Nothobranchius furzeri: one gene and its partner. The protein of the gene in region 1 purifies or fractionates together with the protein of each later gene. This does not show direct contact. Links are inferred from orthologs where the notes say so. Each region holds a gene or a part of one and is shown on either strand. Other genes may lie near its edges.

Evidence for each region.
Region 2: the proteins of gnb5a (region 1) and gng2 purify together in Homo sapiens (affinity purification with western blotting; 4 studies listed by BioGRID and IntAct, with this or other methods). This does not show direct contact. The link is inferred for Nothobranchius furzeri from reciprocal best matches to the Homo sapiens genes GNB5 and GNG2.

What each region holds. Positions count from the first base shown.
Region 1 is NC_091744.1:64,502,394-64,510,510, forward strand, and holds the start of gnb5a (guanine nucleotide-binding protein subunit beta-5a), read left to right. Parts: upstream 1-3,154; 5' UTR 3,155-3,390; coding exon 3,391-3,526; intron 3,527-3,991; coding exon 3,992-4,128; intron 4,129-4,218; coding exon 4,219-4,260; intron 4,261-4,655; coding exon 4,656-4,732; intron 4,733-4,809; coding exon 4,810-4,942; intron 4,943-6,271; coding exon 6,272-6,415; intron 6,416-6,498; coding exon 6,499-6,590; intron 6,591-6,675; coding exon 6,676-6,724; intron 6,725-6,794; coding exon 6,795-6,891; intron 6,892-7,571; coding exon 7,572-7,738; intron 7,739-7,821; coding exon 7,822-7,833; 3' UTR 7,834-8,117. Other genes in the region: myo5c (unconventional myosin-Vc), read left to right, coding at 394-483, 560-710, 798-1,083, 1,160-1,334, 1,421-1,501, 1,576-1,728. UniProt on the Homo sapiens protein: Enhances GTPase-activating protein (GAP) activity of regulator of G protein signaling (RGS) proteins, such as RGS7 and RGS9, hence involved in the termination of the signaling initiated by the G protein coupled receptors (GPCRs) by accelerating the GTP hydrolysis on the G-alpha subunits, thereby promoting their inactivation.
Region 2 is NC_091758.1:20,028,073-20,036,458, forward strand, and holds the start of gng2 (guanine nucleotide-binding protein G(I)/G(S)/G(O) subunit gamma-2), read left to right. Parts: upstream 1-2,739; 5' UTR 2,740-2,925; intron 2,926-8,386. UniProt on the Homo sapiens protein: Guanine nucleotide-binding proteins (G proteins) are involved as a modulator or transducer in various transmembrane signaling systems.

The DNA of each region.
Region 1 (8,117 bases):
TGAAGAATGTGTGCAATTAAACAGAAATGAATGATTTAGAAATCATTTAAATTATGAATATTTAAAGTAAACTAGCCACAGGTGCACCACGGGACGTAGTAAAAGTCTTTTGTATAGATACTAAAATAGATGCTGGTGGATTATTTATTCAATGCCAGTAATTAACTCCATTACTCATCGCTGCCTCCCCTGCTTGGGCAGTAAACAAAAACAGGCATGCTGGTCCTATGTGCATGCTTACTAACAGATCTGGTTTGACCCACTTGAGTAAAACAAAATAATATTGTGTTATGCTAGCTGTAGAAAAATGCTGATGAAAGATGTTTCAAACTGAGGAAGATCCAGTTTGATTTGTCTGAGACGTTTGATCCGAGGTATTTATTTCTGTTTTAGTCTCACCACAGAAACATGGAGTTGTTGTCCTTCTGGCTCTCAAACACATACCAGCTGCTCAACTGTCTGAAACAGTACAGTGGAGAGGAGGTATGAGTTTACTCACCTGTAGACACTTTGAACCTCTGCGTATTCTCACACAGAATCGAACCGTCCTGCTTTTCAGGAGTTCCAGAAACAGAGCACCCCTCGGCAGAAAAAGAACTGTTTGCAGAACTTTGATTTGTCCGAACACAGACAGATTCTCAGCGACCTGGCCATACACATCTACCACCAGCTCATCAGGGTCATGCAGAAGACTCTCGCTCCCGCTATTGGTGTTTGAAGAAAGGAATAAAAGCATCACCACATACAGAAAAATTTTCTTTTAGTTAAACTAACTCGTGCTTTTGTGTTCTTAATAGTTCCTGGAATGCTGGAGCACGAGAGTCTACAGGGAATTTCCAGCATGAAACCGACGGGTTTCAGAAAACGCTCCAACAGCGTTTACAACGAGGCTGAGAGCTACACCATCTCCTCCATCCTGCAGCAGCTCTCCAACTTCCACGCCGCTATGAGCCACCACGGCATGGAGAGGTGCCTCATCAAACAGTCCATCAAACAGCTGTTCTTCCTGGTGAGCGCCACCACCTTTAACCAAATCATGCTCCGCAAAGACATGTGCTCCTGCAGGAAAGGGATGCAGATCAGGTCAGTGAGGTTCAACTTTTTGAAATCTGAAGGAAAAAAAGGAAGCTTTGGTTTTAACGTAGCCGTGTTCTTTTAGATGTAACATTAGTTATCTAGAGGAGTGGCTGAAGGAGAAGGAGCTACAGAGCTCTAATGCCATCGATACGTTGAGGCCGCTGGCTCAGGCTGCCTGGCTGCTGCAAGTCAACAAGTCCACTGATGAGGACGCTAAAGAGATCGCTGACAATTGCACCGAGCTCAGCCCTGTTCAGGTACCTCGTGCGCCAACATTTATTATCTAACTGCTTTTTATAACTTTTCTTAAACTCTGGAGGCAAAACTCAAATGTATTTTGCAGATTGTCAAGATTCTGAATTCCTACACGCCCATAGATGATTTTGAGAAAAGAGTAACATCATCATTTGTCCGCAGAGTTCAGGCAAGCTTCAATGTGCTGGATTTTTATGAAGTATTTACTTTTTATTAAAACTAAAGTTGTGTGCTTTGTTGCAGTCGTTACTGCAGGACCATGAAGGGTCTTCACAGCTGATGCTGGACACAGATCATCGTTTCCAGGTCACGTTTCCTTTCTGTTCCTCCTCCATGGCTCTCGAGTTGCTGCAGGTCCCGAGCAGCCTTCAGCTGGACTTCCTGACCAAGATCTGACCTTTGACCTTTCACTCTTCATGACTTGCTGATTCTCCAGTGGCCTTTGTTTAAAGAATTTTTAATATAAATGTAAGAAGGATTTAGAAATACTGAAGTAATTTTCTTCTCAGTGATCTAGATTCAAAAGATGTTTCGTTTTAGCTTTTAAGTAAATAAACTTGCAGTTTTGTCACGCCATTTTTAGGTCTTAATTACATGTGTGTGTGTGTGTGTATTATAACAGTTTATATCAATGCTTTATAAATTTTATTGATTTCATTAGATTTCAGTCAGTTGGACAGTAAAATTGTTGCTTTATCATCATGATTAATCTTTAACACCTCAAACAGGTGTGTTATAGCAACCCAATGCTACATTTTGTTTATGTACGGCAAAATTATTTCTATAAAGTGATTAAAAACCTTGTTTTTACCAATGTTCTTTATCATAAAAATAACTCATTCTCAAGTCCAGCTGGCTAGCAGGGAGCCTGACAGCGGAGACTTTAAGCGGGTTGCTGAAATGAAATAATCGCTCTTGACTACCAGCATTAGGTGTCACAGTTGACTCAAAATTGTACGGTTGTGGACCTTCAGCACCAAAATTGTAGAATTCTTGTTCCATATCTGGCAACATCTGGTAAAGCTCCATGTAAACAGCCACCAGTGAAGCAAACCACAGACACTGATATCTGTGATCAATATGATGTCTATGCAGTGAACGACTTCTCCCGTCACTTTTGGTGTTTTATTAGGAGGTGCTGTTTTTCAAGCAGATAATAAACACACTGGGAAGCAACAAAACATGGATCTCAGTCATAGTTACATCTGAACTGCTTATATAGGTCCTCCTGCATTTCGAATATGCTTAGATGGGTTTAAAGTGGAAGATGAACTTAAAAAATACACACTAAGCAAAATGATCAATATTCAAAATGTAAACTGTTTAGTTTAAAATGAACCATTTTAAACACAGCCGTTAAGGTCAATATATCCTTGCAATTCACCACTTTCTCTTTGGTGAGAGACAGATGGAAGGAACTGTCATTTTAGACGCGTGTCCTGAAAAGTCCTATATCCCAGTGGTATAGAACCCCCCAAAAAATTAGTAAATATTAACGCCTTGTAAACAATTGTTGCAAATCAAACCACTTATAGTCTTAAAGCATCCAGATGGAGTATCAGCATTATACCTGCGTCAACAAACCTGCCATTCCTATTCATGTCTACTGCCCTCTGGTGGTGGATTTACAATTGTTTGTCTATTACTGTTATAAGATTGCAAAATCAAACAAAATCGATTATTACAAAGTCAACGTTAACCACCAGATAGTTCAATTTGATCCTGTTCCTGCATAAAAGTCAGCATTCTGGACAGAAGCACGCAGGTTTGCATCATTAACAGCACACTGATCATGCTATTCTGCACACTTCCTCATGAATGCAGACAGACCGCGTTATTGCTTTGTAACGCAGGCGGCGGTGAGCTAATGTATTTATCTGTAGAGTAGTGAGGCTGGGCGCTGCTAAGGATGCAGCCTCATCACCAGGAAGTAGATCCTCCTCCCTCTATTGACACAGCAGGAGCATCGTCTCCCCGTGACGTCATGACAGCAGCAGCATCAGCTGTTAGCTCCGCTGTAAGCCGCTGTCCGTCGCTCCCCGCACAAAGTCAACATATATGAGATCCCCTCCAATCCCTGAAATGGCGACTCAGGAGGTACAGCTGAACGAGACTCTGGCTCATCTGAAGACCGAGTCGGAGACGCTGAAGACGAAACTGGAGGAGGAGAGAGCCAAGCTGCACGATGTCGAGCGTGAGTCCTGAAAATGGAGAGGCCTCCATCACTCCTCTCTTCACACCATGACGGCATAAATAACACTTTACTCTTATTAGTGTTATTGTGTGACGTGTTTTAGACTGAAGTCAGGCCCTGTAGCGTCCACAGGATGTTGGGATTAATTATCTGACTGGCCGGATGTGAGGATTAGACTATGTTTGCTTTCCGATGTTAAACGAATGTTTCCATCCTGATTTTTCCTCCTAGGAGCTCTTGTCTTATAGGATGCCTGAGGAATTTTGAAAAACTGTAACTAAAATAATAAAAAACGTGGAAAATGGCGTTTTAAAAATAGATTATTTCTATTTACAACAGATCAGACGGATTATTTTAATCCGACCATATAAATCAATCCTTACAGCTACCAGAAATGACAACAACAATAATAATAATCATTATTATTACTAGTAGTATTAGTACTATTGTGTTTGTTGTAATTAGTGCATCAGGTGGCGGAGAAGGTGGAGTCTCTGGGTCAGTTTGTCATGAAGACCCGCAGAACCCTGAAGGGACATGGCAACAAGGTCCTGTGTATGGACTGGTGTAAAGACAAGAGGAGGATCGTCAGCTCCTCACAGGTCACACATTTCACCTTTCAGCTACAGAGATCAGACTGTTCATGAGCTAGAGCCAGTTGGTTGTTCACTCATCCATCTCTTTTGGTGCAGGACGGAAAAGTGATTGTATGGGATGCCTTCACCACCAACAAGGTAATCCATTTATTGCAAAACCTTTATTAAAAACATCAAAGCCACTGGGATTACGTGTTACATCTGTAAAAACAAAGGAGCAGAACTGATCAGGCACATGTTTTTGGGATGCCATGGCACCATAAACTTGCTATAAAGGTTTCAGACAATGCACATTAACAATAAGAAGTTAGATCTAAATGTCTTTGTCCAAGAAATACCATTTACTGAAGAGGGAGGTTAGTGAATGGGTTACTTGGCAGGAAGAGGAAACATTTTAACAGATTATTCTCTCTTCACCTTTTTTATGTGTTTAGAACAAATTTCAAAACCTCAAGGTTTTATTTTAATTATAGCTGATTAATTCTCCCCAGTGCTGTCCCACTCATGCTGCTTTTTGATTGGATGTTTATTAGGAGCATGCTGTGACAATGCCGTGCACCTGGGTGATGGCCTGTGCCTACGCTCCATCTGGCTGCGCTGTAGCTTGTGGGTGGGTATGCTTGTTGCCTCCTGACATATAATCCTTTGATTATTTTTAATAAACCATGTTCATTTTCTCTGCCATAGGGGCCTGGATAATAAATGCTCTGTGTATCCTCTGTCTCTGGATAAAAACGAGAACCTAGCTGCAAAGAAGAAGTCAGTGGCGATGCACACAAACTACCTGTCTGCTTGTAGCTTCACCAACTCAGACATGCAGGTGAGGAGGCACAAAGTTAAAAATCACAGATGAAAGCAGCAGCTGCACATGCCTGACTTGGTTAATAATTCACTCCTGTTTTATTGTCCTGGTCACATGACATTTCACCATTTGGCTTGTAATAAATTAAAAAGCTACAGCCATATTTAGTAAATAGTGAAACTGGGGTGTAAAAATGTTAAAACCCCCTTTTCACCACAGTATGTCTAAATATTTAAACATATATTCACATAAAAATATTGAACATTCATTTTGAATTTAAACTAAATATGCATCATGGTATTCAAATCTAATTTTAAAATGTGATGTGTTTACACAAAATATTTTGAAAAAGCTTAAAAACAGAAGAAGATGACATAAATAAATAAATGTTATAAATAAACAAATAAAAGCTTTTATTTTGGAAGGCTACTTCAGTTCTACATCAGAATCTGAATGTCAGCTAAATGTATGCATTTATAGTGGTATTTAAATATAGCTTCACACAAACTTGAATCTAAATATTTATTATTTTTAATGTCGTTTTTTAAAGCTTCATGTAATAAAGTTTAGAGGTTAATTCTTGAATTTACTTTGATGTCTTTGACAATCACCATGGTCTTGATTCGGAAAAGGGTAGAATGCCTTCTCTGGGTCAGGAATGAGGTCCTGCCCCAAGTGGAGGAGTTTAAGTATCTCAGGGTCTTGTTCACTAGTGAGGGAAAACTGGAGCGTGAGATCGATGGGTGGATTTGTGCTACATCTGCAGTGATGCGGGCGTTGTCCCGGTCTGTCATGGTGAAGAGAGAGCTGAGCCAGAAGGCGAAGCTCTCGATTTACCAGTCGATCTACATTCCTACCCTCACCTATGGTCATGAGCTTTGGGTAGTGACCGAGAGAACGAGTGGCTGGGCTCTCCCTTAGAGATAGGGTGAGAAGCTTGGTCATTCGGGAGGGGCTTGGAGTAGACCCGCTGCTCCTCCATATTGAGAGGAGCCAGTTGAGGTGGCTCGGGCATCTGGTCAGGATGCCTCCTGGAAGCCTTCCTGGTGAGGTCTTCCGGGCACGTCCAACCGGGAGGAGACCTAAAGGTAGACCCAGGACACGGTGGAGGGACTATTAGTCTCAGGGAACGCCTTGGGATTCCCCCGGAGGAGCTGGCCCAAGTGGCTGGGGAGAGGGAAGTCTGGGTCTCTCGACTTAGGCTACTGCCCCCGCGACCCGACTCCGGATAAGCGGATGAAAATGGATGGATGGATGGACTTTGACAATCAGCACCCCATTACTCTCGTAGCACCATCATCTTAAGTAAGCATATACCTTTCCTCTCTTTGTCTGATTGTATTAAAGATCCTGACATCCAGTGGTGATGGAACATGTGCATTATGGGATGTTGAGAGTGGGCAGCTGCTGCAGAGTTTCCATGGACATGCAGCAGACGTACTGTGTCTGGACCTGGCTCCGTCTGAGACAGGAAACACTTTTGTTTCAGGGGTGAGCATGCTCTCTGTGCTGCTTATTTAAATGTTGGACGATTTTCATTGCCGGAGTCGCATTAATCTTTCCTGTTTCTGCAGGGCTGCGATAAGAAGGCTAACGTGTGGGACATGCGTTCAGGACAATGCATTCAGTCCTTTGAAACTCATGAATCAGACATAAACAGCGTGCGGTGAGTCACGGTCCTGATCAGAAAAAACGTGATTGCTATTCTGACTGACTTTGTTTTATAATGTAGCCCAATTTTTTTCTAATAGATACTACCCAAGTGGAGATGCTTTTGCATCTGGATCAGATGATGCCACAGTAAGTTAAACTGTTAAACACCTCAAAGGGACATTTTCAAGTAAACTGAAATCGGTTGTTTTTGTTTCAGTGTCGGCTTTATGACTTGAGGGCAGATAGAGAAGTGGCTATTTATTCCAAAGATAGCATCATATTTGGGGTCTCCAGTGTTGATTTCTCACTCAGTGGTATGATATTATTTCCCTTCAATACTACTTTTGAATATATGATCCTCAATATTATTTAAAGGTGTGGTGTACTTGTTTATTCAATACATTTGCAGTGTTCTCTATTATAAATCAATGCCTTATGAGTCATTTAAATTTAAAAAAAGCTATGCTGCTTCTGTTCTGAGATGCAGAAGTTTACTGGTGCAGAGGTGGGCTGAAAACAGCTGGATTGCTCATTATTATTAATGATATGCCCACACCTCAGTTCTGACTGGCTCACAGAACGTGTTCAGCCGTGTTGAAAAGTCACCATCACCAGGACACTCTCCGCTCTCTCTCCTTGTTGGAAAAAAACAACAACAAAACAAACGAAAGCCCTCCTGTGAGTGGGCGCGAGCCAAGATGGGCGAGGCCATGAGTACAAATCCAGTGTGACATAGATATGTGAGGATTTTCAGATCCTAGCATTTCGCTGTATTTTCTATCAGAAGCTGATGCAGGAGGTAGGTGTGAAGACAGTTTTCATGTTCAGCCTGCATGAAAACTCGGAGTGACCGATTTTATAATCAGAAATAATAAAAAAAAAATTTTCAGGGAACCACACGTTTAAATATTGAGGATCTTGGCTCTTTCTTTGCTTACAATTATTACTTTTTAAAGATCGCTGAAAAGATTTGTGTGTATTTTCATTTTAACAGGACGGCTACTGTTTGGTGGGTACAACGACTACACTATAAACGTCTGGGATGTTCTCAAAGGAACACGGGTCTCTATTCTGTTTGGACATGAGAACCGTGTCAGCACGCTGCGTGTCTCTCCCGATGGTACGGCCTTCTGCACAGGATCCTGGGATCACACTCTTCGGGTATGAGACTTTTTTGTAACCTCTGAGATAACTTTTCAAGTTTCAGTGACTTCTGCAGTGATTGCTGCTTTTTCCTTTTTCAGATCTGGGCTTGAGCGTCGAGCCACAGTGACCTAGATGCTGAAGACACACTGATGTTTCTGTTTGCTAGAAAACAATCACAGAGATGGAAACACTTCTTGGATGTAGATAGAGCATTTCAATAGCTTTGTACATACTCCAGTCTCCTGGACAAGGATAGATTTACATGTCAAAGAGTAATTAAACCAAATGGCACGCTTACATTTCATTAAAACTGAAAGAAAATAGCACAGAAATATAGGTGCAACTTTTATTTTAAAAAAATGAAGAAAATATAAATAGTAGTAACTTGCATTGG
Region 2 (8,386 bases), on another chromosome or scaffold:
CACCTCGAGAGGAGCCAGTTGAGGTGGCTCGTGCATCTAGTTAGGATGTCACATGGATGCCTCCCTGGAGAGGTTTTCCGGGCACATCCAACTGGAAGAAGACCTAAAGGAAGACACAGGATACGATGGTGAGACTATGTCTCTCGGCTGGCCAGGATTCTCTGGAGGAGTTGGCCCAAGTGGCTGGGGAGAGGGAATCTGGGCCTCCCTGTTGCCCTCACGACCTGACCCCTGATAAGTGGCCAAAAATGGATGGATGGATGGATGGATGGATGGATGGATTCAACCACTGGTTCAGGTTTTGGAGCAGAGAAACAACTAAAACATGCTTGCCTGTAAGAGTTTGAATTCCTTTCCATTCATCAGCTGACTAAAAACACAAAGTTGGCTTAAAGATCTCAAAAAGCAACACCACGCACGATCCGATGGAGATTGCAGACCACATTTTAACCTCCGCAGGCTTCACTTGGTTCAGGTTGAGCCGAGAGAGGAAACACTTTTCCACAGCTTTGTGTAGATGAAGAATGACGGGATCATAAGAGCAGCAGTAACAGAAAGGTGGAGAACCACTGAGGTTCTGGACCCGAGGGCACTCCCAAAGAGCACGCTGGTGACAGGAACCACGGCTCATTAACTCACCATCCTCCACCTCTGCTGCTACTGTACGTCTCCCAGTGAATGATGTCTGCATGAATGGAGACGAGGAAAATGTGACTCGCTCAAAACGTGACGCTCAGCCAGCGAGGAGATGAATGAGGTCAGCTGGGTTTACCTGCAGGCGAGCAACACAACATCCGTGAAAGCAGATTTACAGTGAGCGTGCACACACACACACACACACACACACACTGAGAAGCTCTCCCAAATAGTCAATAATTGTGAGCAAAGGTGGACAAAGATAATTTAACTTACAACCAAATCATAAATGTTTCTCCTTAGGGAATAAAATGTTTGCAAAATTTTACAGAATGAAGAAAAAATTCTACTCCTGCAGCTGAAAAGAAAATCAACTCGTGGTGGTGGGGGGGGGGGGGGGGGACTTAATAATAAGTATACAAAAATCTGTCTAAATGACAGGTTAGAGGCTTTTTAATGCAATGTCAGGAATACAGTCGCACATTAGCAAGTACCAGCAGAGCCATTAGAGTAGTTCATGGACGGTTCTAATGGGAAACAGGCTTTAGCACAAGCTGCTTTCTGCTTGGTCCTAGCGCTCAACCAGTGTCTACTTAATATAGTGTAATGTTGTTTTGGACGGTAAAAGCTGCAGGGGTCAAAAACTTACTTTGGAAATAGTGTGTGTGTGTGTGTGTGTGTGTGTGTGTGTGTGGCGCTTGGGGGGGGGGGGTCATGCCCCCCCCCAAAAAAAAGCTACATCCATGGTTTCACTCAGTGGAAACGAGGAGGCGGTAAACTGGAGCCACAGTTCAACCCTGTGAGTGATGAGTGAAAACAAAGGAGCAAACATTTTGGGTGGAAGCCCCGTCAAAATCAGCTGATGATGCGGCTGGATGAAACTCAAAAAATGAGAATAGGGTGCAGAAGTCCATTCATGTCGGAAATCCAACTTAGACTGAGAGACCATCTAAAGCAGGGGTGCCCAATCCTGGTCCTCGAGGGCCGGCATCCAGTTTGTTTTGGTTTTAATTCGGCTTCAACACACCTGATTTCAATCAGCAGGTGATTAACAGGCTTCTGCAGAGCCTGATGAGATGCTGCACAGGTGATTCAACCAGTTAATCAAGTGTGTTGGAGCAGAAAAACCACAAAACCTGCTGGATACCAGCCCTCCAGGACCAGGATTGGGCAGGGCACCCCTGACCTAAAGGCTTCAGGAACCCTTTGCAGGTGTTGTGGATTCATTAGCTGATTAGAGTCTAGAATATTGAACATATTCACAACATTATAATTGTCTGACATTCTGATTTTGAGGTTTATCTGACATTGCTTGGAATGAGTCTAGTCTCACTTTTTAAGTAGAGTTAGTGACGTAAATGAACTTGTGCACCATATTCAGATTTTTCAAGTTTCATCTGTAAGTGAACATCCATAATAGTTAGGTTGTTGATATTTTTATTAAAATCCACTCAGTGACTCATTTAATTTGCATTAAAGACACAGAAAAGGCTCAAGTTTCATGTAATTAAAAATACCACACAGTCAAAAATAAGGGTACAATTTGAACTGATGTACCCTCTAAGGCTTGACTAACTATGAATCATGTAATGTTCCCCAGCAGGAAGAAGATGAAAATAATTTCTCTTTTACCAGTTCTTTCTAAACCCAGAACAGAAAGGTTCTTAAGCTCCTGGGTGCACAGCCAGCCCACGGCACTTGATTCTGTTGATCCGAGCGCATCCTGCAAACCCCAGATACAAACAAGCTGCATGTTTGTGCGTCTTGCTCCAGTTTCTGTCTGTTTTGATCTCTGATGGCTACGGCCACAACGTGCAGATTCAAAGCTTCCTCTCTTGCATGGCACAAGTGCAACACAGGATGTCGTGTTGAGGTTCTCAACCCACGTTTTTTTTTAAGTTATGAATTCAAAACAGAAAAAGGAAAAGCAAAAATGACCAGCTGGTAGGAGTTTGTTCACTGTGGCTGCTCAGATTGACAGTTGGAGCCCTTCCTGTGGACCTCCGAGGGAACGAACGTGTCGTTATAGCAGAAAAGAGAAGAAACAAAGAGGGAGGAGGAGGAGTGTAGTGTCTTGGCTGAAGGGTGGAGACTCAGCAGCAGTGAGGAGGGAGGCAGTGAGTAGATAGAGAAAGGCACACAGACAGAGGAGTGTGTGTGGATGTGATCTGCTCTGCCTCGTTGACTGAGTGTATGTGTGTGACGGAGGGAGATCAGGAAAAGGGGCGAGCGCATGGATCCCACAGCACTGGATGTGTGTGGCTTCACAAACAAAGGATCCTCATAAAGGTAGGCTCTTTTAAATCTCTTTTCTCTGGCAGCAGACTGAGTTTGTGTAGTGTTTTGGTGGGATCCGGGTTAATCACATCCAAAACAGGGTGTGTTCAAGTGGATGAGGGTTTTTTTCATGCTCGAGGGGTGAGGACTGATGCTGCTGGCTGCTTTACATCATGGAATCCCCTCCTCCCTCAAACATCACCAGAAACCTCCCAGCTTTAGGTGATCTGGGCTCAAATCCACTGATCCCTTCTTTTCTTTACAATCTAGAATGGAGTCCCTTCCTTCCTTTTTTCTTTTTCCTCCCTGTTTCTCCTCAAATCTAACAGCGTAGAGCCGGAGGAATTAGGAGCATCTGTTTCAGGAGATGTTAGCAAATTCAGAGGGGATGAAACAGATATATGAAAAGAAAATATTGATTTTTGTCCGTTTTTGGTTCTGTGAGGAGAAAACAGTCGGCCACGAGCAAGCTTCGTGTAGTGGTTGTGTCAGGCAGATGGCTAGGAGAGGAGGAGGAGGAGGAGGAGGAGGAAGATAAGGAGGTGGCTTGTGTTTTCATGGTACACAGATACTGTATGACAACAGCATTCAATCACCAGAAACAAGCAAACAAATACAGATCTGCTGTTTGTCCCACTCTCTGCTCATCACTTGAAGACATCGTCAAGCACAGCTCACAATCAGGCATTCAGTCCTGTGTGTGTGTGTGTGTGTGTGTGTGTGTGTGTGTGTGTGTGTGTGTGTGTGTGTGTGTGTGTGTGTGTGTGTGTGGCTGAGGTACATATCCTGATTACAAACGCACGCTGAAAGTCAGAATTACGCAAGAGCTCCCATCCAGCTGGGTGGAACTGTTCCAAGGCCTCCACAAGTCGCCGTTTTGAATTGTGTTTCTGTGTCAAAGTCATAAATACTATCTTAGTGTCCAGAACAGCCTCTGCTTGGTGAAAACTGTTCACATCCTGCAGGACGGATGCACCAAAAGATGTAATGTCAACAACCTGAAGGCCATATGTCAAAAATATTGATTATAGATGATGAAAGAGCTGCGGAGAAGAGGTGTGCTGCAGATAAATTACACATTTAATGCTAAACGTTCAAATGACTTGATGTTGGCTTTTGATTAACTCCTTGATGTGATTAGAGAGGAATTGAGCTGACGTTAGCCTCATTTCTGCTAACTTTTCCAAACGGAAACTCGTCAGCTGAAGAAAGAATATTTTACGTTAAAAGCTGTCTGCAGAACGAGATGCTTCATTTTCTAACGCATTAAAGCAACACCTGTATAGGTGATCCAAAGTGTGGCCCAAGGGCCGTTTGTGGCCCTCGGCTGCAAATTAAGAACGGTCTTATGTAGTCCCCAAACCAGCTGGTTGGTGCAGACATGTTTTGTTCCATATTTGATCAAAGACAAAAACACAAGAAACAAATTGTCTTTGTTTTCTTTTCTTGTTGCTGCACTCGAGTATTATGGCTATTGTTTGGAAATGTTCGGACACTCCTGCTTTACATACGAAGATATAATAAGGGCATCTATCTCCAGCCCTAAGAACAAACAGAGGACTATGTTTCATTATCGATGATCTGATTTAAAATGAAAGGAAAAAAGAAATAACACTTTCAGAAAATTTATTTATTATTTAAATCTGGACATATCTGGATCTAGCTATCTATCGATGAGACTTGAATTTTTCCAACTAGGCTCATTTTAAGATGGCAGCAATCAACTTTCAACTAGCCTTTAGCTCATCAGTCAGATCAGAGCTAAAGGCGTGCTTGTAACTTCCCAATAGAGACAGATTTTTAAAACATCTGAAATGTTTCTTTAAATCCGACTGAGGTGCCAGTCTGATGATTAGCTCACATTCAGACTGTAAATCTGAATCTGTGCTCAAACAGTAAGCTTACTAAATAATCCCCATGGCCACCAGTCCCTCTGAAGTAACACGGTCTAGAAATGAACTGTAGCTCATTCACACATGTTGCAGTAGTGTGCATGCTGACCCAGAAAACGTGGAATAACCAGCAATCTTAACCGTTTAACATAGTGCATGCAAACACACACACACACACACACAGTCAGAGGCAGTTGTGGTCTGAAACTGTCCAAGCAGCTCTCCGGCTCTCGCTGCAACATTTAAACAACCCTGGATGTTTGTAGAAGCTCCACAGCCCTAGGGAACGGCCCAGTTGTTAGCTGCTGATTGATTCCAGGGGAACATTCACGTCTAGGTCTCCGAGGAGACTTAATAACCACAAAAGATGCTAAAAATAGCATCTGTGACACAAAGGACAGGAAATCCAACTTTAAACCTGCATTTACAGATAAAAAATAACGTGGATACTTTCAGAGGTGACTGAAACAGCCAAATAACACCAGCTGGTGGGTGGTAATCATTTCTCCACCATGGATGTAGCTTTGGGGGACGGGGGGACATGCCCCCCCCCCCCCCCCCCCCCCCCACACACACACACACACACACTTTTTTCCCAAGTAAATTTTTGTCCCCTGCACTTTTCACCGTCCAATAACAACGTTACGTTATATTAAATAGACTCTGGGTGAGCACTAGGACCAAGCAGAGAACAACCGCTTGTGTTGAAGCCTGTTTCTCATCAGAAGCGTCCATAAGCTCATCTTTTGACGTGCGACTGGTCATTCCTGCTGTCACCCCACGCTGTAAACAGGACATGCTCACTTTTCTACATGCAGTTCTGCATTCCTGACATTGCGTAAAAGAGCCTCTAGGCTGTAGCTTTATGCATATTTTTGTATGTATAAAATGCACCACGGTCACACAAAAGCCGTGTTTTTCCTTTTATCTGCTGCTGTGGTGTGACCTGTGTTGTTTCTACCCCACTAACCACGCTGCTGTTACGCAACATCGGTATCAAAGGCTTTAAACGCTGCAAACTCTTAAGAATAAGGCCTAAACCCCACACTGCTGCTGTAATCCAACAAGAAAGCAACACACCAGGCTCCGTTTGTTTGATTTAATAAACATAACGGGCCACATTTGTGCTCCCTGGAGCATTAATCCTCCACCCTGCTGCCTCCATGACTCCTGAGGGGATGCATCATTTCCTGGGCCACTGCATCCCCCCGCGCCTCTCTGGGGCTAAGATTAACCTACAGCACACACGTGTATAAATGCACATGCATGAATGCACCACAGTCTGCAAGATGGCAGGGCTTGCTGGGGGTGACACAGATGTCCGAGATAATCAAAGGTTCGAGGGAGGTGGTGGTCTAACGGCGCAAGGCAGAAACCAGACTGACTTCATAGTAAAGACTTTCTTCTACATTATATCACAAAAAATAAAATGAAATTAATCTCACAGGAACTTTAATTTGAGATGTTTTTTGGGGGGAAATACAAAAACGTTGTTCCATTGTGCATAAAAATGAATAATGAACACATAAAATGTCAAAATTGTAACTTTTGACCTTGCAATTACATCTTTTTCGCTCCTGTTCAATTAGCTTGATTTATTTTTTTCATATTTAATTCTGTTGTAATTAAAAGCTCCTATCTGGTTGTGAAAGTCAGAATCATAAAAGTTCATTAGAATCTTTTAAATATAAACTTGCAGCTCATAATGAACAACAGCTATTTTTGATAAGTATTTATGATTTGTGTTATCTCAGAATGCTGAGTTTCACTTTTTAAAGGATGACCTTTTACTCACAATCAATGACCAATCTTACAAATCTGGATTTTTGTTGCATATTTAAACCTTTGAATATCATGATTTTGACTTTTATTGTGTTGTGATGATTTTTACAGTGCTAATTATGACTTTTATGCTCACATTTTTGAAAATAATAACTTTCTATCAAATAAATGTAAAAGTCAGATTTGTATAACTTAGCTTTATCACCCGATCTGCCAAAACTGCAGTCATCCTGCTTGTCCTCATAAATTCTGCCATTGCAACTAAAATATTTAAATAAAACATATTACAAGTTTAATTTACACATCTAAGTTTGTTTACTTAGTGGACTCTTGTGTGTCAGGAAGTGAAACATCCTTTTAAAGATGTCTGATCCACGATTCGCTCAGCCTCCAGGTCGCCCACTTCCTGGGTTCATGAGTCTAGTTCTGCATGTTCAAACTAAGACGTTTGTACTGAAAGGTTCTTTATATTATCCAAAATGTCAACATGTCCCATAGGTTATTTGATGGAAAATGATGATCCAAAATGGCTGACTTCCTGTTGGGTAAAGACCATCTTTTAGAGTTTGGTAGGTACCCTGTTCCTGAAACAGTTAAATTACGCTGATTCTTTGATTAAAGTTGAATGATTTTACTACATTTTCTGTGCTTTTGTGCATTTTTAGACTTCTGTGTTGTTTTCCAGTAGCAGCTGGCTAACTTAGCCATGTTTGCCTTGGTGTGTGGGAGCATATAAATGATGTTCTGGTTGTAACTCACAGAACCAGCGAGGGTCAGCTGGTTAAGCTCAGTATCCAGGCTAAATGGCATGGATACCAGTAGATAAAACAGTTTCACTAAATCAGTTTTTTATGAATGAAATCTCACCAGCTGGACGAGATTTATTCTGGTGAGTTTTCAGAAAAAGACGCATCAAATAACTGTTAGTGGAGTTTTAGGCTCAGTCAAGCCAGACTAAAGAAAGAAAGCCCAGATTTGATGAACAGGCTTTGTAACAAACACTTTTCTGATTCTCTCTGACACACTCAACAGTTCAGCATTCTGTAATCAGCTCTCCCGGTACTTTAGGCCTCAATTACTCTGTAAAATTGTTACTAGGTCACGTTTCCTTCTTTGTACCCTTTGGATTGTAACTCATAAATGTACAGATGCTTAATTAGAGACCAGGTTTCATGTCCAGGTCTGAATAAAACTTGTGTAGATGCTCACCTCCACACATCACAGCCCGACCTCTCTCTCTCTCTCTCTCTCTCTCTCTCTCGGCATAGGGAAGGTCGGACTTTCCTCGTGTTCAAGGGCGGGAGCCCGTGCTGTATTACATCCAATAGTCAATGTCGTCTTGATTTAGCTCAATAATAACTCTGGAGGTCAGTTTCATGTTACTTCTCCTGGCTGAAACCACTGGGAAAGCCACCTTGGAACATCTCCTTCAGTTTATAGTTGCTCATCGGCATCCAGATCTGTTGAATCTGCCTTTAGACCAGAGTACCACTCGCTGCCTCTACAGTTTCCCACTGACATTGCAGAGTTGTCCCATGACAGGATGGTTCAGTCACTCGGTCACACGGTCACCGAGAGCATTCGGATGACTCTGCTTCTGAGTGATTTGCATGCATCACTGCTGTTATTTGTGGCTTTGAGACGAAAAGTCGCCTCCTGCCTTTTTTGCCATCTTGCCGTCCCTTCAGACCTTTGCAGGTTAGTCACTTGTTCTCCGGGGTCCAGATGGCTCAGCTAGAGACACATTTTTAATTACCACGCTCTGATTTCACACCCTGAGCGTCACAGAGGACAGAACG